Linked DNA regions of Xenopus tropicalis. The protein of the gene in region 1 interacts with the protein of each later gene in a biochemical or structural test. Links are inferred from orthologs where the notes say so. Each region holds a gene or a part of one and is shown on either strand. Other genes may lie near its edges.

Region 1 (3,813 bases):
TTTGTTTTCATAAAATCGGTACAGATTTTCTTCTTCAAAGCCACACGAGTTTCTAATAGCAGGCCTGCATGTAAATAACTCTGTACCTTAGTGTGTGTGTGTGTGGATCTACTGGCAGGGTTTAATGTGCACAGCAATTTAAGCAAAAAATAAAGCGTCAGTCTAAACTGTGTGCAAATACCAATGGTACCTTTGTGTCTAGAGCTTTCTTTATGCTAATCCTCCTCTGTATCCTCGCTTCTCCCCTTTCTATTTGAGCCATTATCTTCTCGATATCTTGAAGCTCATTGCACCTTTCCCAGAAGACCGCTAAATGAAAAAAATTAAATTGTTACTTGGAACAATAAAAAGAAACTACAGGCTTCTGAGTACAGAGTTATAGGTAGCAATATGACTTTATAGGTCTCATAGCAAATACTTGCCCAGGAGCCTGAGAATAAATAAATAAAAAGTATGTGAAAGCAGAAGCTAAATGCATATTAAGCTTAGGAAGGTCTTCCAGTGAATATCCACAATACTGTACTAGTTTATTTAGCAATTAAAAACATTTGTGTCTACAATGAAAGGATTACCTGAATACTCAATGACTTCCTCTGGTGTCTTGCCTTCCACTTCCCGCGCAATATTTTCAATATCATCACGACCCCATTTCTCATTAGCCTTAATAAACTGGTTGAAATCTCTCTTATTCCAGTTTGTGAAACCCTGAAAGTCATGAGAGGAAAACATACATAACTCTTCCAGAATCTGAACATGCTTGAATGTACGTCTACAGGCAACAGAACTGTACAGGCTAAAAACAACAAGCTTTTTGGTCTCAAACCCTACATACACCATCTACCTTATCAACGCTAATCAAACTTTCATCCTGTCCATATTAAAAATGCAGTTTCTCTTCAAAGCACTGTACTGTTTCTTCCTACCTGAGTTAACAATTTCTCTTTCTCCTCTAACTCTTCATCATTGAGGGGCTCTGCCTCATCAATTTTTAGTTGTTCTTCCTTTTGTGCTTGTGCTGCATTTGGCAGATCAGGATTACGTGGTACCTAAAATAAGCAAGAAAAAATAATTGTCATATCAATATGCATAAAACAGCAAGTGGTTTGAGCAGATGGCAAAATTAATTTCTCTGGCATTTCAAAAAACATTTTCTGATTTAGGAATAATGGGGGTAAAGCAAATCATCTACAAACTGAAAGTGCATGGAATGTATCTTGTTTTGCAATCTGGCATCCCTGCATAACTCTGAATTGCATATTGACTTCCTTTGCCAATTGTCTTCTCTTTGTTTTTGTAATCAAGCAAACCACCTTATTGAGCTCCTGCAAATTCACTATATATCAAATGAGAAATGTTTCTATAATTCATTATCATTGCCTGTTGGGAAGGACTATCCTACATGCAAGAGAAAGTAGGTATGCTGGAGGTCGTTTCACCCAAACATGCGTAAGAGAAGGCTAGGCCTGAAGCAGATATGCATTGGTTTACAAAACATTTATTTTGTGTGCCGCAATACAAGTAATGTGTGCACAATGGAACCTGCATACTACCAACCAAACACTACAATAACAGCTATGGCTTTAGCTGCAGAGAAAAGACTTAATAGGAACCTTGCAAAACAAATTGGCACTTATCACATTTAATTTAGAAATGAGAACTTACCTTGTAGCCAATTGTTTTCCTGTAATAGAGAATTTCTTTTTCCAATAACTCAAATAGACGTGGAGGGAAAAACTGAAAATCTTGAACATTTGGCTGTTTTGGGGGTCTGGGAGCCTATAAGACATAATATTATTTACATGACATAAGCTGCACAGTAAGGGAACCAACATTTTTCTTTTCAAGCTCATGTCTCCACTATACAGATAATTACATATAGAGATGGAAACTAGAATGAGCTTCTGTAGTTTATATGGCAGACAATTCTTTACATCAGCAAGGAGCAGCTTAGCATGAACTTTTCTAATTAGCGCAATATTTCACACCTCTAGAGATGCGTTTAAAGATCTAAATCTTGTAACATTAGTAACCATCATCTACCCCTGCAGCAAATATCTGCATTACTTTAAGCAGTATATTTTCAACTTACCCTCCCATCCCAAGGTCTCACAGACTTATGACAAATACAACTCATGTACTTGAAACAGCAATACCATATATGACAATGCTGAATCAATTACCCCCAAATACAGCTTTGGACTTTTGTAGCCCTACCCAAAAATACCATTTCCAGATCTAAAGTAATTAGTGATCCCTCTCACTGCATCCAGTACTGCTGTAGCACTCAGCTACTCACCTTTGGTACTTTTGGCTCGCTAACACGGAGTGCTTCGCGGAAATACGCATCTACCGCGTAATTAGCTTTTCGTTCCCTTTTCGGTGGTTCAATCCACTCTGTAAATGCCATCTATAAGTTAATATCAGAAAGAAAGTTAGGATTCCCATAATGCTTAACTTGAATAGTTTTTAACTTTTTTAAAATCATGGAAATTTTTATGGTACTCAAGGAGTAATTTTAATTATCTTTGTAGTTAATTGTTTATCATACTTTATACAATCTTAGCATCTTTAGATAACACCCATATTTTCTGAAGCTCATATTAAGCAAGAAGCCAATTATAGAAGCCCGTAAGACTAAATACACACCTATGGAAAATATGACTCACCTTTTGCTTTTCTCTGTAATCTTCACCTTCAAAGTTATAAACACTGGATTCATTATCCACCGTGAAGTTTCTAAGGGAACTTTCACCCATGTTTGAGAGTTTCTCATTCATTTCTGCAGTCTTAAAGGAAAAAAAGAAAATGCAAAAAAAGTAATGGAATAATGTATACTGTTGCATAACAACTCAAAAATGCTAACATCTGGTGTGCCAATGGTATCCTATTGCTAGCATATATTACAATATCCTGGGTAACAGTTTGTTCAGAGAGATTCTGTATGTCTCTTCAGTGTTAAAGGCCTATAAAAATGTACCTTCTTCTCCCCTCTCTCCAAGATTGCATTAATGTCTTCCTCTGTGATTTCACTATCCTTTGATGCAAATACATGAGTAGCACCATGTCGAATCATTTGAAGCATTTCGTCCTTCCCTAATTTATTTAGGTTTTGGTCCACTAATCTACCTGAAATATATGGAAAAAGGTTAGTCAGTAAAACATTAAGCAAAAAAAAAAAAAAAAAAACCCCACACCATTGATACAACCATAAAAATATCTGGAGTCATTCCTGTGAATGACTCAAATATCTAGACCAGTGTTGTCCAATTTCTGTGGTACAAAGGGCCGATAATGGAAGTCAGTTTTGACCACCCCCCCCCTTTTTTTTTTTTTTTTTTTTAAAACCACAAACACTTCCAACCACACCCATCACAAGAGCTTCTAACAGTAAGGGTGTTAGTGCAGCAAAAACCCAAATGATGTAGGGATATCACCCTTCATTCATATGTGAAAGAATTATAATATTTACGACACACCCTTAAATCCATATGCCTCCTCCTCACCTGTGGATAGCACAGCATCCCCCAGTATAAAATTACACATCTTAGGGACCATATATTACTATTTCCAAATGCTAACAAACTTCCAGAATAAACCCCTGCCAGGTTTACCTCTAACAGGCAGCATAGGGTAGGCAGAGTAAGGCACACACAGGCAGCATAAGGCAGGCAGAGTATGGCACATGCAGGCAGCATAGGGTAGGCAGAGTAAGGCACACGCAGGCAGCATAGGGCAGGCAGAGTATGGCGCACACACACACAGGCAGAGTACAGCCTGTGTGTGCCATACTCTGCCTGCCCTACTCTGCCTATA
Region 2 (4,457 bases), on another chromosome or scaffold:
TATTGTGTGCCCAGAACATTCCCTCTCTGTATATTTGTATTTATACATATGGGTAGGGGGTGCCATAGTGTTTCCCTATGACAGTACAGAGTACCCCTGGGACCCTTACCAAGATGTCGCATACAATACAAAGACACTGGCCGCCCGGGATATTGCGCTCCGTGCTTCTTTGGAGATATTAACCCCTTCTGGGAGCTGGAAGAGAAGACAATCAGCATTAGTTGGGAGCATTTAGGAAGTTGGTTTGGTGATGAGACCCTACAGCCCTAGGGAGTTGCATCACATGACACTACAAGCTGCTATATATATATATATATACACACAACATGTATAGCAGCTCCATGCAGAGATTAAACATCAGCCCCTGCCACATGGAGCTTACAATCTAAGGTCCTTATTACACACATACAGGGGCAGTTTTATCAGGGGCCAATGAGCTGCCTGTGTGTGTATTTGGGCTGTGGGAGGGAACCCAGTAGTGCCAACTGGATCAGGAGTTCTGTTAGTGGAGTCCTATTGTAAGGGTGTAGAACATGGCAGACCCATCTGAACAACAGCGGAAACCCAACAGCTAACACTTCACTTACAGCTTCCTTAATGATCCGCGTGACCACAGCGTTGGGCAAGTTCAGATCTTCCGGTCTCTCGGCCATTCTGCTCAGCTACAACTGGAAGGCAGGAAAGGGACAGGTCAGTACCTGGGTATGGGCAGGGCAGTAAGTGGATATAAGCAGGACAGTGCCTGGGCAGGAGCGGGGCAGGACCTGGGTATAAGTGGAGTAGGGCAGTGCCTGGGTAGGGCAGTACCTGGGCAGGAGCAGGGCAGGACCTGGGTATAAGTGGAGTAGGGCAGTGCCTGGGCAGTAGCGGGGCAGTGCCTGGGTATAAGTGGGGTAGGGCAGGACCTGGGCAGGGGCGGGGCAGTGCCTGGGTATAAGTGGAGTAGGGCAGTGCCTGGGCAGTAGCGGGGCAGTACCTGGGTATAAGTGGGGTAGGGCAGTACCTGGGCAGGAGCGGGGCAGTGCCTGGGTATAAGTGGGGTAGGGCAGGACCTGGGCAGGGGCGGGGCAGGACCTGGGCAGGGCAGGACCTGGGCAGGAGAGGGGCAGTACCTGGGCAGGAGAGGGGCAGTACCTGGGGAGGAGCGGGGCAGTGCCTGGGGAGGAGTGGGGCAGTGCCTGGGGAGGAGAGGGGCAGTGCCTGGGGAGGAGTGGGGCAGTGCCTGGGGAGGAGTGGGGCAGTGCCTGGGGAGGAGCGGGGCAGTGCCTGGGGAGGAGCGGGGCAGTACCTGGGGAGGAGAGGGGCAGTGCCTGGGAGGAGAGGGGCAGTGCCTGGGGAGGAGAGGGGCGGTGCCTGGGGAGGAGAGGGGCGGTGCCTGGGGAGGAGAGGGGCGGTGCCTGGGGAGGAGCGGGGCGGTACCTGGGGAGGAGAGGGGCGGTACCTGGGGAGGAGAGGGGCAGTGCCTGGGGAGGAGAGGGGCAGTGCCTGGGGAGGAGAGGGGCAGTGCCTGGGGAGGAGTGGGGCAGTGCCTGGGGAGGAGAGGGGCAGGACCTGGGCAGGAGCGGGGCAGTGCCTGGGGAGGAGAGGGGCAGGACCTGGGCAGGAGCGGGGCAGGACCTGGGTATAAGTGGAGTAGGGCAGTACCTGGGCAGGAGCGGGGCGCTGGCGTACCTGGAGGAGCGGGCGGTACCTGGGAGGAGAGGGGCGGCACCTGGGGAGGGGGCGTACCTGGGGAGGAGAGGGGCGGTACCTGGGGAGGCGGAGGGGCGGCACCTGGGGAGGAGAGGGCGCGTACCTGGGGAGGAGAGGGCGGCACCTGGGGAGGGAGGGGCGGACCTGGGAGGGAGCGGGCGGTACCTGGGGAGGGGAGGGCGGTACCTGGGGAGGGCAGGGGGTTACCTGGGGAGGAGAGGGGCGTAACCTGGGGAGGAGAGGGGCGGGTACCTGCGGGAGGAGGGGCGGTACCTGGGGAGGGAGGGCCGGTACCTGGGGAGGCGGAGGGGCGGTACCTGGGGAGGGGAGGGGCGGTACCTGGGGAGGAGAGGGGCGGTTACCTGGGGAGGAGAGGGGCGGTACCTGGGGAGGAGGAGCGGTACCTGGGAGGGAGGGCGGCACCTGGGGAGGGGAGGGGCGGGGGGGGGGCGGACCTGGGGAAGGGGAGGGGCGGTACCTGGGAGGAGGGGGCGGCACCTGGGAGGGGTAGGGGCGGCCACCTGGGGAGGGGAGGGGCGGTACCTGGGGAGGGGAGGGGCGGCACCTGGGGAGGGGGGGGCGGCACCTGGGGGGAGGGGGCGGCCACCTGGGGAGGGGAGGGGCGGGGTTACCTGGGAGGGAGGGGCGGTACCTGGGGGAGGGGGCGGTACCTGGGGAGGGAGGGGCGGTACCTGGGGGAGGGAGGGGCCGGGGACCTGGGGAGGGGAGGGGCGTACCTGGGGAGGAGAGGGGCGTACCTGGGGGAGGGAGGGCGGTACCTGGGGAGGGGAGGGGCGGCAACCTGGGGAGGGGAGGGGCGGGGCACCGTGGGGAGGAGAAGGGCGGTTACCATGGGGAGGAGAGGGGGGCGTACCTGGGGAGGGAGGGGCGGCACCTGGGAGGGGGGAAAGGGGGGGCGTACGTGGGGAGGGAGGGCGGTACCTGGGGAGGAGAGGGGGGCGGTACCTGGGGAGGAGAGGGGCGGTACCTGGGGAGGGGAGGGGCGGTACCTGGGGAGGGGAGGGGCGGCACCTGGGGAGGGGAGGGGCGGTACCTGGGTAGGAGAGGGGCAGGAACAGGAGTAATATACAGCAGGGAAAGAGAGTAGCTGGGAGCTGTAGTCCAACACCACAGGGCAGGTTACTGAGCCCTAAAGTTAGAGTGATGAGCTGGGCACCCACCGACCCCCGCACAGGCCCACCAGCCCCATGATACACCCCCCCCCCCATACTGTACCTCAGGGCCCCTCACTGACAGGAACAATAACCAGACGCGCTCTTCCTCCTTCTCCACTTCCCGCCTTCCAGCCGAACCTTTACCAGCACCACGTGGCTCAGAAGCCCCGCCCCTCGGAACCCCTATTGGAACGCAAACCCCCCCCCCGGCTTGCGTTCCAACAGTCGCTCCTAACGCCTTGCGTTCCACCTTACAAAATAAAGGGGCCGCCATTGCTCTGTGTCACCTGAACAGAGGAGGGTTTTAGTAACGGGAATGCCTTGCGCGTACCAAGCCTCATAACCACTCAGCAGAACTTTCATTGCGAGAACGAGGCTTGGAATACACGGCAGCCATATTGCTTGGGAATGTTCCCGGAAGCGTCTTTTGTTGTTATGGTAACCGGGAGAGGGTAAGTTTTTTTTTGTATTTGCGCAATCGGGGCAGGAAGATATTGGGGTGAATGAGCAGTGTCTGATGCTGACAGGGGGTCTGTTCCCGTAAGGGTCTCAGTCATGTGACACCTGATGGTTAAATAACACAAAATATGTTCCTAAGGCTTTGCTTCCCCTTTACTCTTACTAACCGTGATTGGACTGCAACTCCCACATCCCTTTATAGCAATGAAGGGTTAAAAGATCTGGGGGCCCGATTTCAGGGGAGGGTTTAGACGTGATTATTATCCCTACTGAAATGTAATGATATAATATTACTGACGTCATCTGTTATAATCTGTGCTTGGTGATGTCATTTGTGTCACATGACTCCTTATGTGTGTCCTACACCCAAATATCCATTCATTCCTCATTCCCTTCCCTGCACTGCTGGTTCTGACTCCTGATACAACTCCCCAATATCCATTCATTCCTCATTCTCACTGGGTTTATAGTTATGTGTAACTGTCACTGTGTCTGTTCCTTTCCCTGCACTGCTGGTTCTGACTCCTGATACAACTCCCCAATACCCATTCATTCCTCATTCTCACTGGGTTTATAGTTATGTGTAACTGTCACTGTGTCTGTCCCTTTCCCTTCCCTGCACTGCTGGTTCTGACTCCTGATACAACTCCCCAATATCCATTCATTCCTCATTCTCACTGGGTTTATAGTTATGTGTAACTGTCACTGTGTCTGTCCCTTTCCCTTCCCTGCACTGCTGGTTCTGACTCCTGATACAACTCCCCCAATATCCATTCATCCCTCATTCTTCACTGGGTTTATAGTTATGTGTAACTGTCACTGTGTCTGTCCCTTTCCCTTCCCTGCACTGCTGGTTCTGACTCCTGATACAACTCCCCAATACCCATTCATCCCTCATTCTCACTGGGTTTATAGTTATGTGTAACTGTCACTGTGTCTGTCCCTTTCCCTTCCCTGCACTGCTGGTTCTGGACTCCTGATACAACTCCCCAATACCATTCATTCCTCATTCTCACTGGGTTATAGTTATGTGTAACTGTCACTGTGTCTGTCCCTTTCCCTTCCCTGCACTGCTGGTTCTGACTCCTGATACAACTCCCCAATACCCATTCATTCCTCATTCTCACTGGG

The links.
Region 2: the proteins of smarca5 (region 1) and pole3 form a complex in vitro, tested with the Homo sapiens proteins (2 studies listed by BioGRID). The link is inferred for Xenopus tropicalis from reciprocal best matches to the Homo sapiens genes SMARCA5 and POLE3.

What each region holds. Positions count from the first base shown.
Region 1 is NC_030677.2:59,224,529-59,228,341, forward strand, and holds part of smarca5 (SWI/SNF-related matrix-associated actin-dependent regulator of chromatin subfamily A member 5), read right to left. Parts: intron 3,127-3,813; coding exon 2,978-3,126; intron 2,787-2,977; coding exon 2,667-2,786; intron 2,408-2,666; coding exon 2,297-2,407; intron 1,777-2,296; coding exon 1,663-1,776; intron 1,047-1,662; coding exon 924-1,046; intron 706-923; coding exon 573-705; intron 310-572; coding exon 191-309; intron 1-190. UniProt on the Homo sapiens protein: ATPase that possesses intrinsic ATP-dependent nucleosome-remodeling activity.
Region 2 is NC_030684.2:2,369,674-2,374,130, reverse strand, and holds the start of pole3 (DNA polymerase epsilon subunit 3), read right to left. Parts: upstream 2,973-4,457; 5' UTR 2,929-2,972; intron 669-2,928; 5' UTR 654-668; coding exon 588-653; intron 196-587; coding exon 110-195; intron 1-109. UniProt on the Homo sapiens protein: Accessory component of the DNA polymerase epsilon complex. Participates in DNA repair and in chromosomal DNA replication.